Linked DNA regions of Canis lupus familiaris. The protein of the gene in region 1 purifies or fractionates together with the protein of each later gene. This does not show direct contact. Links are inferred from orthologs where the notes say so. Each region holds a gene or a part of one and is shown in the gene's direction. Other genes may lie near its edges. The genes, in order: GP6 and LYN.

Region 1 (7,972 bases):
CCAAATGAATGAGACCATATAATGTTTGTCCTTTTCCAATTGACTTAAAGAAATCTTTTCTTATAATGCAGTGTAAATGGTCTCATCCTAGAATTTATCTCTATGTGTAAAAATACTTCTATGCATTGGTTCACAGGCATAGATTTTGTTGTTGGATATGTTTACTATGGTTTCCCAAACGTCCAAAGACTTGCATCATATAGGGAAGGCACACAATAAATGTTTATTGAATGGATAAATTTTTTTTTTTTTTTTTTATTTATTTATGATAGTCACACAGAGAGAGAGAGAGGCAGAGACACAGGCAGAGGGAGAAGCAGGCTCCATGCACCGGGAGACTGACGTGGGATTCGATCCTGGGTCTCCAGGATCGTGCCCTGGGCCAAAGGCAGGCGCTAAACCGCTGCGCCACCCAGGGATCCCTGAATGGATAAATTAATCCAACAAGAACTCAATAACAGATCTTTACTGTTTATTAATTCCTACAACCACTTGCCCCTGAAAATGGATACCTTCCCATTGTGATTGGGGTCTAGGCCATTGTTGTCTTAATTCTCCTTTTCCTCCTCTGCTGATGTTGTCATTGGGTCAAACATGGTATGTCTTAAAGATGGGAGGGTTAACCAGGGAGGGCTTTGGTGGGTCCCCTACCAACACTGATTGCTGGCTCTCCACAGGAAACATTGAAAATGAGACCAAGAACCAGGTGAAGTGTAAGAGGGAGGAGAATTTGGACTCTTCCTCATAGAAAATGTTATATCTTATTTCTCAGACCTGCCTTAATACTTTTATAACCTTTTACTCAGCTACATCCCAGTTATGGACTTCTGGGAAGAAATCAATGTAAAGGGGAGTGAGAATGAGGGGCAGCTAGATAGGGGGAAAGAATATGTTCAGGGAAAATAGAAGACATCCTGGAGGGAGCAGAGAAGTGTTGGGGGGGAGGGAACCACCCTACTGGATGTGGTGTCATTGCCTTACATATTTCAGTCAGCCATCCCTGAAATACTGATTACAGGATTGGATAATTTTCAGGGTCTCGCCGCATTTCTCCTTGCAGATGATGTCTTGGAGGACATCCAACTTAGGGACAGACAGATGGACATGCATGTGAGTCTCTCCTCAGCTACCTCTTCTGCTCTAATCACCTTCTACAGATTCTCCTTTTTACTTTGTATTTCTGTGCTGACAGGACCCTATAGAGGAAGATCCTCAAGAGGTGACCTATGTTCAGCTACACCAGAAGGCCCTCACAAGGAGTGTGGATACATTTTTCTCCTGAACTAATGAGAACTTCTCTGGCCAGCCCTGTGTGTATGCCACCCTCACCTTGTCCTGAGTGCAGAGCCAGGACTGCCCATATAGACTCCAGTATTCAAGTGAGCCTTAACAAAGGTGCAGCTCAATGGGGTGTCCTACTTATGTCCCTCAACACAAGCTATCAGCTTGTAACTCCCCAAAGACTCAAGACTAGAGTCAACTTGTCAACTGTAAAGAAATTCCAGGACCGATCAAATATCTCTCAACAGATTGCTGGTTCCTTGTACAGTTACCCATTCAGTTGTGGAACTAGAGGGTATTATGCTGAGTGAAGTAAGTCAATTGGAGAAGGACAATCATTATATGGTTTCACTCATATGGGGAATATAAAAAATAGTGAAAGAGATTACAGGGGAAAGGAGGGAAAATGAGTGGGAAAAATTAGAGAGGGTGACAAAACATGAGAGACTCCTAACTGAGAAATGAACAAGGAATAGTAGAAGGGGAGGCGGGCGGGGGGATGGGGTGACTGGGTGATGGGTGATGGACTGAGGAGGGCACTCGACGGGATGAGCATTGGGTGTCATACTATATGTTGGCAAATCGAACTTCAATTAAAAATATATTTAAGGGGATCCCTGGGTGGCGCAGAGGTTTGGCGCCCGCCTTTGGTCCAAGGCACGATCCTGGAGACCTGGGATCGAATCCCACGTCGGGCTCCCGGTGCATGGAGCCTGCTTCTCCCTCTGCCTATGTCTCTGCCTCTCTCTCTCTCTGTGTGTGACTATAATAAATAAATAAAAAATTAAAAAAAATATATATTCAAAAAAAAAGAAAGCAAAGTGGAGTGACCCACAGGAGCAGGTGTAAAGATGCTTTGGGTCACTGAGCAGACATAATGTCTAGGCATGTTTAAAGAGCACTCATTGGTACCAAATACAAAGGAAAGTCATGAAGTGACTGTGGGAGAAGGAACCAGTACAGAGAATCTGGATGGCCATTTGGCAGTGAGTAAATTGAAGATGCACCTAACTCAAGATTTGACAATTTCCTAGTGGATACATATTTTAAAGATATTCTCACATATGTCCAGAGGGGTGCATGAGGAATGATATTTATCTCAGCATTGTTTACAGCAGAGATATTTGGACATAATGTGGCTATCCATCATTGGGACAGTGAGAGGACAAATGTGTTGAAGCAAGTACCTGTTCTGCAAACTTATGAATGGTCTGAAAACACTGAGTGTGCAATGGAAAGACAATGACTTCCACAGCATTACACAACTTACTACACAATACAATTTAAAAGATATAAAATAAAGCTTTGCAGGGATGAATGAATTCACATGGACTATTTCAGAGCTGCTCCTTGGAGATGGAGAATAAAAATGAGAACCATAGGGCAGAGATGAATTACAGAAGAGAGTGATTACCTACATGCATGTGTGCCTGTGCTAAACCAAAGGAAACCGATTATTCAGCTCCCAGAACCCAAGCTCTAACTAGAAAAATACATTTTCTTTCTTTTTTAAAGATTTTTATTTATTTGTTCATGACACACACACACACACACACACACACACACACACAGAGGCAGAGACACAGGCAGAGGGAGAAGCAGGCTCCATTCAGGGAGCCTGACATGGGACTCTATCCCGGGTCTCCAGGATCACGCCTGGGCTGAAGGCGGTGCTAAGCCGCTGAGCCACCCAGGCTACCCAAAAAATACATTTTCTTCTAAGTTCAGGTTTCCCTGTTTGAATGGGACTAAAGGTCCACCTGTTTCTCAGTCTTGTGTGAGGGTCAACGAAGTAGTGACTGAAAAGTGAGTAGGTTTACAGACATATTTGTGCACCCAAGTTTATCTTGTCCTCAGAGTCCCTCAGTGATTTAACCCAGTGGTTCTCGACTGGCCATGGTTTTGTCCCCCAGGGGACATCTGAAGATGTCCAGAGACTCGTTGGTCATCACAACTGGAGGGGGAGTTGTGCTAGTGATTTCTAGTGGATGGAGGCCAGAGATACTGCTGAGCCTCGCAGAAGCACAAGACAGCCCACCCCCACTCCAACAGGCACCTGGCTCCAATTGTCAACACTGCCAAGGTTGGGATACCCTGATCTGACCCCTATAATCTCTTCAGTCTTGGCTTTTTGCTCCTTGATTCTAGCCACATTAATCACTTCCCACTTACTTGAAAATGCCAGGCTCTTTGCCTCATCAAGGCTTTGGGGCAATGCTGAACGTATTGTTCTTCATCCATGGATATTTCTCATCACCAGGTATAATCTCAAATGTCACCCCTCCAAAGGAAAGCTCCATGAAACTGTTCCTGTTAATGAGATCCATCAGATAATATTCCTACTCCATGCCTGAAGATGCAGACATGGTGTGGTTCTAGGCTGGTGACAGAAGATAAATGAGCTTCTGTGAACTTGTGTGCAAGTCACTCTACTGAGGGCATGGCTCCAGCTTGATGATCCTCACTTAGGAAAAGCCAGGCAGATCCAGGAAGGGAGGAGAGGGCTCTGCATCCTCATCACATCCGATGTCTCTGCTCCAGCCCCTGCAGCTTCCCTCCTGGGTTACAGAGCTTTGGATGGGCTGAAGAACCATGGCCCCATCCCTGCCTGCCCTTCTGTGTCTTGGTGAGTACTGAGGATTGATCTGGGAAATGCTGAGGCACAGGCAGTAGGCTATGAGACTAAGAATGTTTAAAAAATTGCATCAGAAATGAATTTCAGGGCAATTGGTGACCTCCGAGGGCCCCTTCATTTCTTGGTTGGGAAAACTGGGACCTGGGAGGTGGTGTTTGTTATTCTGTTCTATTCCCTTCTTGGCTAGGTCAGGAAATAAATAGGTCTTCCAGTTTTGGCTACAACTTTGTCTCTATACACTGTGTTTTTTAAAAAAATTATTTATTTATTTATTCATTTAATTTTTTAAAAAGATGTTATTTATTTATTCATGAGACACACAGAGAGAGGCAGAGAAATAGGCAGAGGGAGAAGCAGGCTCCATGCAGGGAGCCTATGTGGGACTCAATCCCAGGACTATGGGATTGCACCCTGAGTCAAAGGCAGGTGCTCAACCGCTGAGCCACCCATGCATCCCTATTTAAGTTTTTTTTTTATGTGGACTTGGTGACATCAGGAGTAGATTATAGGTTTGTCAGCAAACCTGATGGCCCTGGAGAAAATAATCCTGCCATTTGCAACAACACGAATGTTCCTTGAGGGCATTATGCTAAGTGAAATAAGCCAGACAAGGAAAGAAAATGCTGCATGATCTCACTTATATGTGGAATCTAAAAAAGTCAAACTCACTAAGGCAGAGAGTAGACTGGTGGTTGCCAGGGGCTAGGGGAGGGGAAAAACAGGGAGATAGGTGGACAGAGTACAAGCTTCTAGTTATAAGATGAATAAACTCTGGGGATCTAATGCACAGCACAGTGACTATAGGCAATAATACTACAGAATATACTTGAAATTTACTGAGAGAGTAGATCTTAAGCATTTTCATCAAACCAAACCAAACCAAATCAATCTATGCAAGGTGGAAGATGAGGTAATTAGGTTGATTGTGGTGATCATTTGACAGTGTGTACATCTATCAAATCATCATGTCAGATACCCTAGATAGACAGTTTTTCTTTGCCACTTATACTTCCATAAGGCTGGAGTAAGAGTCTCTCAGAATGAGATTGGTGGTAGGATTATGTGTTTTTTTATTGCCTGCTCCTGCAGGTCTTGTGCAGTTTCCTTATTCAGGGGAGTCTTATTGCTAAAAGGACAGAAGCTCCAAGGCCAAGCAGGAAGGAACAGCTGTATTATGTGGATAAGAAAACAAACCACGAGCACAAACCGCCTGTCAGTCAGTCATTAACACACACTCATGTGGCATTTACTGTGGGCTAGATACGACAAGGTAGGCCCTCTCAATACCCCCATTTTACAGATGAGAAGGCTGAGGCTCAGAGGCAGTTTAGAAATTTGTTTAGGGGGATCCCTGGGTGGCGCAGCGGTTTGGCGCCTGTCTTTGGCTCAGGGCACGATCCTGGAGACCCGGGATCGAATCCCACGTCAGGCTCCCGGTGCATGGAGCCTGCTTCTCCCTCTGCTTGTGTCTCTGCCTTTCTCTCTCTCTCTCTCTGTGTGTGACTATCATAAATAAAAAAAAAAAAAAAAAAGAAACTTGTTTAGGTCACACATCTAGGGATCAAATAAACTAAGTTTATTTGAGTTTAGTGCCAAGTTCACATTGTTGGTAACTAAAATATGTGGCTGGTGTCTGAGTCTACCTTTTCCCAGCTGTAGGATGGTGGACAGGATACTGTCTCATCTCCATGGCCCGATTATGAAATGGGACTAATCATGGTCTCTAACCAGTAGTACTGTGGTGATTCAGAGTCCATATAGAAGTGCTCAGAAGGGTGCTGGGAGTATTTCTGGTCCTGTTAGAAGTTTGGAGTAGAAACCCACAAAAGGACCAAGGTGGGGTTGTGTTGGGCAGCGGACAAAGATGTGGGTAGAGCTTGGGTACGCATACCAGGTAAAGTACAGCATGCTCAGTGAAATTTAATTTCAGATAAACAACAAATAATTTTTAAAGTCTAAGTATATACCATTATATTTCATGGGTCATACTATACAAAAAAATTCATTGTTTATCGGAAATTCATATTTAAGTGGGAGTCCTATGTTTTTATTTGCTAAATCTGGCAATCCTAGCAAGGCTAAAATGGGGAATGCTACCAACACAACAAAAAAGTTGAACAAAAAAAAGTTCAGCTTGAAAGAAGAAAAGCTTTGGTCAATGTAGAGAAGGTAGAAGGCAAAATGCGGCAAAGTTACCTGCAAGGCAGAAAATGGAGTCTATAGATTATGTGGTTTGATAGGTGTGCAAAAGTACATGGGGAGGCTATTTAGAAGTGCGGAAAGAATTAGACACAGGGTCGAGGAAAAACTATGCAGAGGCACTAAACTGGACAAATATTGCTTCTAGGGAAAATAATTAGGAAAAATATACAGGTGCAATACTACACTCCTTTTTTTTTTTTCAATACTACACTCCTGAGTTGTGAATAATGTTTGCACAATCATAATAATTGCAGGGTATTGATTTAAACAAAAAATTAAAACAATGGGAAATTCATGATTAAGACAGCCAGTGATCTCTAGACATGATACAATGCAAGAGAGCCTATCTGGACCTACTGCACAGCATGGTGATTATAGCCAAGAACACCTTGTTGTTGAACATTCTAAATGTTCTCACCACAAAAAAGAAATGGTAATTATGTGACAGAAGGATGGAAGTATTAGCTAATGTTGTGGTGGTAATCATTTTGTGATATATAAATGTATTAAATCAACACCTACACCTTAAATTTACACAATGTTATGTATCGTATATCAATTATATCTTGATAAAGCTGAGAAAAAAAATAAAGACCACATCCTGCACACAGCCCCCTTTCCAGAGAGGAGATAATTCCCTTTACAGTTGTCAACCAGTGTGTGCATGGGGAGGAGGGGCAAGGAATTCGTGACTGGCTTTTTAAAAATTGTAATAAAATAACAAACTCAACATAAACTTTATCATTAATGACATTTAGTACATTCACAATGCATACAACCATCACTTCTATCTCATTCTAAGGCACTGTCACCAGTCTAAAAGGAAATCATGCCCATGAAAATCACTCCTCAATGCCCCTGCCACCCACCCCCCAGTTTCTGGCAACCACTAATCTCTCCATGTCTGAGCAGATTTACCTAGTGAGCATGTTTCAGATAAATGGAATCATACAATATGTGGCCTTCTGTGGCTGGCTTCTTCTGGCACTCAAATTATGTGAGTGTGTGTCCTTAAGCAAATGAGGACAGAAGAAAGTGACTGCCTGAAGATGTGGCATTACCTGCTCTGCGTGCAGAAGTGTGGCCTCCAGGAGATGCTAGCAGGTGGTGCTTTTCTTCTCTGCTCAGGGCTGTGTCTGGGGCAGGTGGTGCAAGCACAGCTTGGTGAGTCCTTCCCCTGGAATCCTCTGGATCTGGGTGCCTGCACAAGGGCCAGGAGGGTGGGAGGAGGGGAGCACCCAGGAGGAGGTCTGTTTGGAAATTCTGCTTCCCTTCCAGGTACCCTGCCCAAGCCCTCCCTCCAGGCTCTGCCTAGCTCCCTAGCACCCCTGAAGACGCAGGTGACCATCCGCTGCCAGGGGCCTCCAGACGTGGACTTGTACCGCCTGGAGAAGCTGAGGTCCCGGAAATACCAGGATCGGCCTGTCCTCTTCATCAAGACCATGGAGGAAAGTTTCGCTGGGTGTTACCGCTGCTCCTACCAGAACGGGACCCTCTGGTCTCCCCCCAGCAACCAGCTGGAGCTGGTGGCCACTGGTACCTGGAAGGGCATGGGAGGGGGCCACCTGTGGCCTCAGGGCTCCAGGAGGGTGAAGAGGGGGATGATGATGACAGCGAACCCCGAGTCCTGGGAGGCTGGGGTTAGGGTGGGGAGCTATGTTTAGGGGAGGTGGCAAAATCCACAGTGATTCACATAAGGAATATGTCAATGCAATACCTTTCCAAAACAATCAAAATCAATGCGAAAACATCCACACTGAACAAAGCATCATACTTTTTTTAAAAGAAGATTTTATTTATTTATTTGAGAGAAAGAAGAGAGGGAGAAGCAGACTCCCCTCTGAGCAGGAAGCT
Region 2 (8,236 bases), on another chromosome or scaffold:
ACAGAAAGCTACCCTGTGAAACAAAGGCAACCATGTTGGACAGGAGCTAAGTCTAGTTTACCAAGAATGTCGCACACTGCCAAGTGCTCTAGATATCTAGAAAACAACGATTCCCATGGAGTCTTTAAATAAAGCTTTTCCAAAACATGGAACTTTCATGGCACTTATGGAAAACAAATATAGAGGGTGAGTGAGGAAGTATTCAGTATATATGAATGCAACCTGAGAAGTGGGAATGAACATTGATTTTCCCCAAAAAAGTAAGAATAAAGAGACAAACTTAGGCAGGATGCTTGTATGTAAGGGGCCAGACGTGGTTAGAGCTGAGTGCAAGCCTAGCTCTGCCTGATGATGCTTTGTTCCTTGTTCCATCAGACATTTTACCAAAAAACACTGACAGGACATTCCAGATGGATTAACCAACACTAAACATCTTGCATCCCAGTCACATGCCTTTTGCCAGGATCTCAAGGACTTGTTGGTAATAGTAGCTATTTTAATTTAGGGCCAATATACTTGAAAGGTCATCCTGAAGAAAGGTCCAGAAAATGGACTCTCAGGTAGTGAATTATTCCATAGGACCCATGACAGATTCCACTCATTCATCCACTACCTTCCAACAGGTAACCCATCCCTTCCTCTTCAGCAGGAAACTAAGCGGCTACATACTAGTGAACGTCACAGGTATAAACCATCCTACTTCTTGTTTTTTGAGGCAGCAGATTGCAAACCTTGGCTGTCTGTTACCAGTAATAAACTACTGCTGTATAGGATTATGTTAAGGTGGCCACTCGACCGCGGGACCGTGGCTGTAGCCTCAAGGGGAGCTAGCCTCCTGAAAATGTTATTAATAACCCACACTTATAATAACCAAAGTAAGAATATACAGTGGGGAAAAGACAATCCCTTCAATAGATTGTGCTGGGAGAAAGAAATGGTTATATGCAAAAGAATGAAATTGGTCCACTTTCTTACATCATACACAAAAATAAACTCAAAATGAATTAAAGACCTAAACTGTAAGACCTGAAACTATAAGAGTCCTAGTAGAAAACAGAGACAGTAAACTTGGAGCTCAGCTAGAGCCATCTTTCTAGACGTGTCGCCTGAGGCAAGGGAAATAAAACCAAAAGTCAATTATTGGGACTACACCAAAATAAAAAGCTTCTGCACGGCAAAGGAAATATTTTAATGAAAAGGCAACCTCCTGAATGGGAGAAGATATTTGGAAATGATATATCTGATTCAAAACACAACTCAATGCCAAAAAAACGAAAATGATCCGATTAACAAACGAGCAGGGGACCTGAACAAATAGCTTGCCAAAGAAGACATACAGATGGCCAACAGACACATGAAAAGATGCTCAACTTCACTTATCTTCAGGGAAATACAAATTAAAATCCCAATGGGACAGCACCCCACACCTGTTAGAATGACTATAATTTAAAAAAGGGCAAAAAATAACAAGGGTTGGTGAGGATGTGGAGAAAAAGGAATCCTTGTGCACTGTGGGTGGGGATGTAAATTGATGCAGCCCCTGTGGAAAACAGTATAGAGGTCCCTCAAAAAATTAAAAATAATATGTACATATATACACACACAATAGAACATTATTCAGTCATAAAAATAGAACGAGATCTTATCATTTGTGACAGGGATGGATCTAGAGGGCATTATGCTGATTGAAATAAGTCAGACAGAGAAAGACAAATATCATATGATTTCACTTATATGTGGACTCTAAAAAGCAAAACAAATGAACAAAGCAGAAACAGACCGCCAAACAACAGAGGGCAAACTGATGGTTGCCAGAGGGAATGGGGGTGGGAGGATGGGCAAAGGAGGCGCAGAGGAGTGGGAACTAAGAGGCTTCCAGTTACGGAATGAGTAAGTCAGGGGGATGAAAGGTACAGCACAGGGAACGCAGTCAATGGTATTACAAGAGCGTTGTGTGGAGACGGATGGCAGCTACACTAGTGAGCCCGGCATCAACGGACAGGCTGGTTGGATCACCATCAAGGTGACAGTGTAGATCAAGTATACCTTGATTTAAAAGATATTTTAAAAAGAAGAATCACAGAAAAAAGGAGAACATGTTAAAGGAAGGTAGTCAATCTAAAGCGGTTAGCACGATGCCCGGCACCCGATAGGCCCGGTGTGTTTGCTATTATTAATACAAAGACTGAATCTCCTCCAGGGCGCTGTTTATTTCCAGGGAAGTCCCACAGCGGACTGTAACGCTGGGAGCCCAGCGCATCTCGCTTAGAGCAAGGGGCCGCCGCTGTGACTGGGGCTAATATCATAACCTTGGGTACGTGTGCGGCATTTACTGGGGTTGGAGCCTGGGCTTGACAACCCACAAACATCGATTATGCGCTTGCTGTGTGCCAGGCAGTGCGCTCCACGCGAGGACGCGGACAGCAGCGGAGAACCGCGGCTGTGCGCTGGGCACGGAGCGAGCCCCTCGCGGGAGGCATTTATTCCTTCCTCCCAGTGACGCTGCGAGGTAGGCACCCTCATCTCCATCCTCCTGGGAGGAAATCGAAGTCGTGAGGCACTGAATGATTGGGCAGGCCGTTCTCCCCCGGCCTTACACCCTGAAAGTCCCCGTGTCCCCCGTGAAGGAGCTTACTCTGCACCCGCTACTAAGCGCTCCGCGAGACCCCGGCCTCCGCTCCGCACCGCATCCCCCTTCCCGAGCCCTCCAGATGTCGGGGATCCGAGCGCGCCCCGCCCCCGCTGCCAGGGGCTCCCGGTTCCCCAACACCTTACGGCGAATCGGTTGGAAAGGAAGCAAAGGAGGCGCGCGCGAGAGGCTCTGCCGCCGGGCTCCACGTCCGGGCTCCACGTCCGGGCTCCACGTCCAGGCCCCGGAGGATGCCCCCGGACGCTCCTTCCGCCCCCGCTACGGGAGGAGGTCGGACCCCGGCCGCTCCCCTCCGCGGAGCCGCACGCCGAGGCGAGGTTTCCCTGCCTTCAGGGCGCGCGCGACGGCCACACCGGAGACCCAAACCTTGGGCAGGGGCCAAGCGGTCACTTCCCCGCCTCCCGGCGCGGTATGCAAATCCGAGCACCAGGAAGTAGCTGGGACCTCTCGGCCGAGCCCAGCGACAGCCAGTTCCTCTCCCGCCGCTCGGGGCCGTCCGCCGCTCGCCCCCTGCCGTGGCGCCTCCGGGCCCCGCGCGCGCAGCCTCCGGGCCGCGACCCCGCGCCCCGCGCCCCGCGCCCGCAGCCTGCCCCGCGCCGGCCCCGCCGGGCCGCCCCGTCGCGCCCCCCGCCCTGCGCTCGAGTCACCGTGGAGCGCCGCCGCCGCCGCCCCGCAGCTTGCAGCCGGAGCTGGTGAGTGCCCGGCGCGGGCCCCGCCGTGAGGGCGCCAGATGCCTCCAGCCCGTGGGTGGCCGGGCCCTGGGGCGCGGGGGACGCTCCGCAGGTGTCTCCCCGCCGCGGCGCGCAGGGGGGCGGGGGGGCGCAGGGAGGGGCGCGGGGGAGGGGAGGCGCGGGGCGGGCGCGCCGGGGACCCGGGACTCCTCGGCTCGCGCGGTCGGGTCTCGCCGCGGGGCCCCGGGCTCCCCGAGGTGAGGGACGGGGCTCGGCCCGGGCTCCCCGCCAGGCCGGCGGGCGGCTGCGCTCCTCGGGAGCCCCGGGCGGAGCGTGAGGTCGGGGGGCTGCGGCCGAGGCTGGTGCGCGCCCTCCCGCTGAGCCCGGCGCCTCCCGGCCGGCGGAGGAGCAGTCCCGAGCCTCCCGCGGCCCAGAGGAAGCGAGAGTTATTTTAAGAATTCAGGGGTTGCCTTTCCTGCGCCCTGGGGGGAGGGCGTAGGCGTCAGTTCCCGCTTTCCTGCGTTATCTTGGCCACTGCGGCATCTCCTCCGAGCCGCGCATATATGTTCCCACTAATAGCTGACGTGGTCGTCTGGTTGTGTTTCCATTTCTCCGTGTATCCGTGTGTGTGTGTGTGTGTGTGTGTGTGTGAGAGAGAGAGAGAGAGAGAGAGAGAGAGAAGAGAATTATCACAAACCCACCCAACTTCTTTGCCAAAAACCCCAGTTGAATTTGGGCCTTCCAGTTTTCTAGCTGAGTGTCAACCTGGGCCTATTATTGAAATTACCTGTATGGGTTTTTTCGTCTCTGGGAGAACATATTTACCTTCTGAGCTATTTATTGCATGTAAAGCCCCGAGTGCGTACATAGGCATTTCATAAATGGCGCTGTTATTATTTATTGCAGATAATTCTTTTTTTTTTAATTTTTTAAAAATGTTTATTTATTTATGATAGTCACAGAGAGAGAGGCAGAGACACAGGCAGAGGGAGAAGCAGGCTCCATGCAGGGAGCCCGATGTGGGATTCGATCCCGGGTCTCCAGGATCGCGCCCTGGGCCAAAGGCAGGCGCCAAACCCCTGCGCCACCCAGGGATCCCTATTGCAGATAATTCTATCCGTTAAAACACGGTTCCCTGGTTCTTCACAATTTGTTGATTTTAAGTCTAAGACTACATGTCTGATTCAGCCAACTGACCTTCCTAGCTAGTAAAGCTGCTTAATAAATACACCAGAGGTCTGCTGTCTGCAAAGCTAGGGTCTGGGAGTCTCACGCTAAGCACTAGTTAATGATGTTTGACTTACTTCTGATTTGTTGGCTGCCCCCCAGGCTGGCTGCCTGCAGAGCTCAGGAGGGCAGGCCTGTTGTCCCCGTATCTTAAAAGCTAAAGCACTGCAGAGGGTAATAGGCACTGAAAGAGTATAGGAATTCCCTAAGTCCCCAGAAGCCCTTCCTAAGTAAAGTAAACTCTGCTGGAAAAGGGTGGGGTTCAGTTAGTCCTGAACTGAAGGTTTTCCTTTGAAGGTAAGGAGGTAAATGTCTTGAGGCTCTTGGTGACCTGGCTTCTTTGGATACAGAGTGAGGTAACTCTCTTCCTGAGCGAAGTGTAGAGGTCAGCCCATGTAAGGAAAGAAACAGGCTCTGGAAAACCCACGTTTGGGTCTCTCCCATCATTTACCAGAACTGTGATATGGACTAAGTTGGGTAAATGCCTTGGCCCTTTGATTCAGCTAACATTTCCTTCGGAGCAGTATTCAGTTATATTCTGATTCGTTTGCATGTAGAGTCCGTATTCACCACTGCAATGAAAGGTGGGTGAAAACGACTTTGTCTGTCTCGTCCAAAACACTAGCCCCAGTGCCTATCACAGTCCAGATTACTCGGAAGAGGGAGTGAAGTTTGGCTCTGAGTTTGGCTCTGTGCAAGGCCAAGGAACAAGGTGGTGGTTTCTAAAGCATTTGAACCTGGCCCTCTCTGTCCCGGTTTTTAAAACAGGGTTATTGTTGTTGTTGTTTAAGATTTTATTTATTCATGAGAGACACACAGGGAGCCTCTTGTGGGACTCGATCCTAGGACCTTGGGTTCACGACCTGAGCCAAAGGCAGATGCTCAGGTGAGCCACCCAGGTGCCCCTAAAACGGGGATTTTTGACTGTCAAGTTATCCCAGTGTCAGTGTTCTAAGTGGTAATCTCTACATAGGAAAGGTTATTGGGGTGTATCCCTGGGAGCAAGGGCTTGATTTGGAGTGATGTCATGTAGCCTGCAAAGGGAGTTTGCCCAATCAAAAAGACCCACTTTATCTTAGAGCTGTTGGTGTTGCCAAAATATGTGAAGACTTTGCAATACCCCTGCACCCCCAATGGCATTTTTTAGCAGAAAAGTGGTCCAGTTTTGTGAATCAGTGACTCTCTAAGCCCTTTAGTTTCTTTATATTTGTTTTAAAAATAAATCACCAGAACATGAGATACCAGTTGGTTCAAATGAATATATAGAGTTGTAAGTTAACAACATTAAGCTATACTATCCATAAACAAACCCATACAAATGTGAATTAGTATAAATAAGAACACAACAGTGTACATGTCTACAATAAGTATTGTTACATCTAGCTTACAATACTGATCTCAATGACCTCCACGTCCTCAGGCATGGATAATATTAACAGTGGAAGGTCACTACAGTCATTAGTTGGGACATTGACCGATGACACATTGATGACAATGGTGGTCTCACCTCTCTTGGGCTCTACCTGGCAATGACTGCTCACACCTTTCGCTTGTCAGAAGCTCTGAGCTCTGATTCCTGAGCTCTGATTTCATTTGAACCTCTCCTGGATCCCAGGGTAGGCAGGGACAGGTACAGAAAAAAGAGGTTTGGTGTCTAAGGTTACAGACCTGGTTAAGTGGCACTACTGGGCAGAGCAAGTGTGTTTTCTGCTCCAACTTTAGAACGTTCCCCACTTTTCTGCCTTTGCTCTGGTGGTAGGTACTCAATTACATAAAAGCAAAGAAATGATCACTTAATAAACATTATTAAATAGAGAACCACAGGGTAATTTTCTTCTATCACTTGATAATTGCACCATCAAGTAGGGCACTTAAGGCAAGCAAACTGAGGGAGATGGGTTTCTTTGCCTTTCAGTGTGCTTCCTGCTTGGGGAGGGGCTTCCTGCTTGGGAAGCTTTGGGAGGGGGTGGCTCTGATAACTGCCAGGGTGACACCTGTATTGGCTCTTGCCCAAGCGCTTCCAGTGACTGCCTTGGGAGCTATCAGGGCCTATTGGTTGATATAGAAGTGTGCAAGTAATACTTTACCAAAGGATTGCCTCCAGCCGCTGCTAGAAGTGTCTCCCATGAACCCTACAAGCCTCCTTGGGTGGTTGTTATAACAGTGAGAGCATCATTTGAGGTGAAAACATAACGTAGGGAGACAGGGCCCATAAGATACTCGTTAAAGCATGCACTCCTTTACTGAGCACCTGTGATGGGCCAGGCACCCTTCAAAGCCCACACTTCTACAATGGACACACATTGCCTACCATCTTTAAAGATTGGTGGTGAACAGAAGGGCATAGAAGAGGAAGTTTCTTTTTTTTTTTTTTTTCCAGTCAGAACTATTGAAAGATTTCTTACACCTGCCCAGTTTCCTGATACTTAAATTGTGAAATGTTGAGTTGACTCTATCATCATTTCTGAAATTTATTTTGAGTAAGTTCCCATTTAGGGGAGAAGCCCAAGTGTAGGAAATGTGTGGGAATCTGCCCGTTGAGGAATTAGAATTTTTGGAACAGCCCCATTTAAAGACTTGGACCTTCTTTTGGATGTCTTTGTTTACGTTAGCTGGAAGGGCTGTCATGTAATTTAGAATAGCAAGTTCAGATGATGACTTGAGATGAGGTGTTAGAAAGGTACGTCTATGCCGATCAGTTGCAGGGCCCAATAATATAGCCTTTATTTTTTGTTCTTAGACTTTCTCTTCAATCTAGTTCTCTGCTTCACTTTCTTTAGTACTTAGTAAGCTGTCAATGTTCATTATTTGCCACAAAGCTATTTCTTGGAAGTTCTATTTACCATCAGGATGTAGTTTCGTTTGTATAGAACTTTTCCAAAAGGTTGATTGTTTGACTGTCTTTATGAACAGTCACATAGTCCCAAGTCTCTCTTCTCTGGCCCAACCTCTCACAAGGTCCACAAATCATGAGTTGCCGTGATAGGAGCTGAACATTTATGGGAAGAGATTACTGATTCATGTCATGGTAACTGTTCATTTTTCATGATTCTGACTTATATAAATGATGTTTCATCAAAATATATGAATGAGGAAACCTTATAGAATCCATCTGAGGGTGTATTTCTTAATGCTATAGGCTCTGCCCCCATTGGGTTGTAGAACACTGGGCAGCAGTCTCCATTCTCGTAGCTTAGAGGGTCTTTTATTATTTTTTATTATTTTAAAATTTTTTATTTATTTATTCATGAGAGATACAGAGAGAGAAGCAGTGACATAGGTAGAAGGACAAGCAGGCTCCTGGCAGGGACCCCAGTGCGGAACTCGATCCCAGGACCCTGGGATCACGACCTGAGCCGAAGGCAGATGCTCAACCACTGAGCCATCCAGGGACCCTGAGAGGGTCTTTTAATTCTGTTTCATCTCCTTTTTACAGTTCACACCTCACACAAGTCAAATAATGCTGAGTCTGCACACATGGCTGCCTTTCTGTGAACATCTAAACTCACTCTGTTGATCCCAAGCCATGCTGATTGAAAGCTCTTTGCCAACACACCTCTCCAGGCCTCCTTCCTCTGTCTATTGGTACAACATCTGGTTGGGGAGCTGTCATGAGTTCCTTGGGCCTAATTTTTAGTGCTGGAGAGAATACACAGTGAGACTGGAGAGAGGGGTTTGCATTCATTCT

What was found.
Region 2: the proteins of GP6 (region 1) and LYN purify together in Homo sapiens (affinity purification with western blotting; 5 studies listed by BioGRID and IntAct, with this or other methods). This does not show direct contact. The link is inferred for Canis lupus familiaris from reciprocal best matches to the Homo sapiens genes GP6 and LYN.

The regions. Positions count from the first base shown.
Region 1 is NC_049222.1:103,344,559-103,352,530, forward strand, and holds the start of GP6 (platelet glycoprotein VI), read left to right. Parts: upstream 1-3,732; 5' UTR 3,733-3,873; coding exon of another isoform or gene 3,874-3,907; intron 3,908-7,030; exon of another isoform or gene 7,031-7,134; 5' UTR 7,135-7,137; coding exon 7,138-7,282; intron 7,283-7,396; coding exon 7,397-7,654; intron 7,655-7,972.
Region 2 is NC_049250.1:7,827,691-7,835,926, forward strand, and holds the start of LYN (tyrosine-protein kinase Lyn), read left to right. Parts: upstream 1-3,260; 5' UTR 3,261-3,342; intron 3,343-8,236. UniProt on the Homo sapiens protein: Non-receptor tyrosine-protein kinase that transmits signals from cell surface receptors and plays an important role in the regulation of innate and adaptive immune responses, hematopoiesis, responses to growth factors and cytokines, integrin signaling, but also responses to DNA damage and genotoxic agents.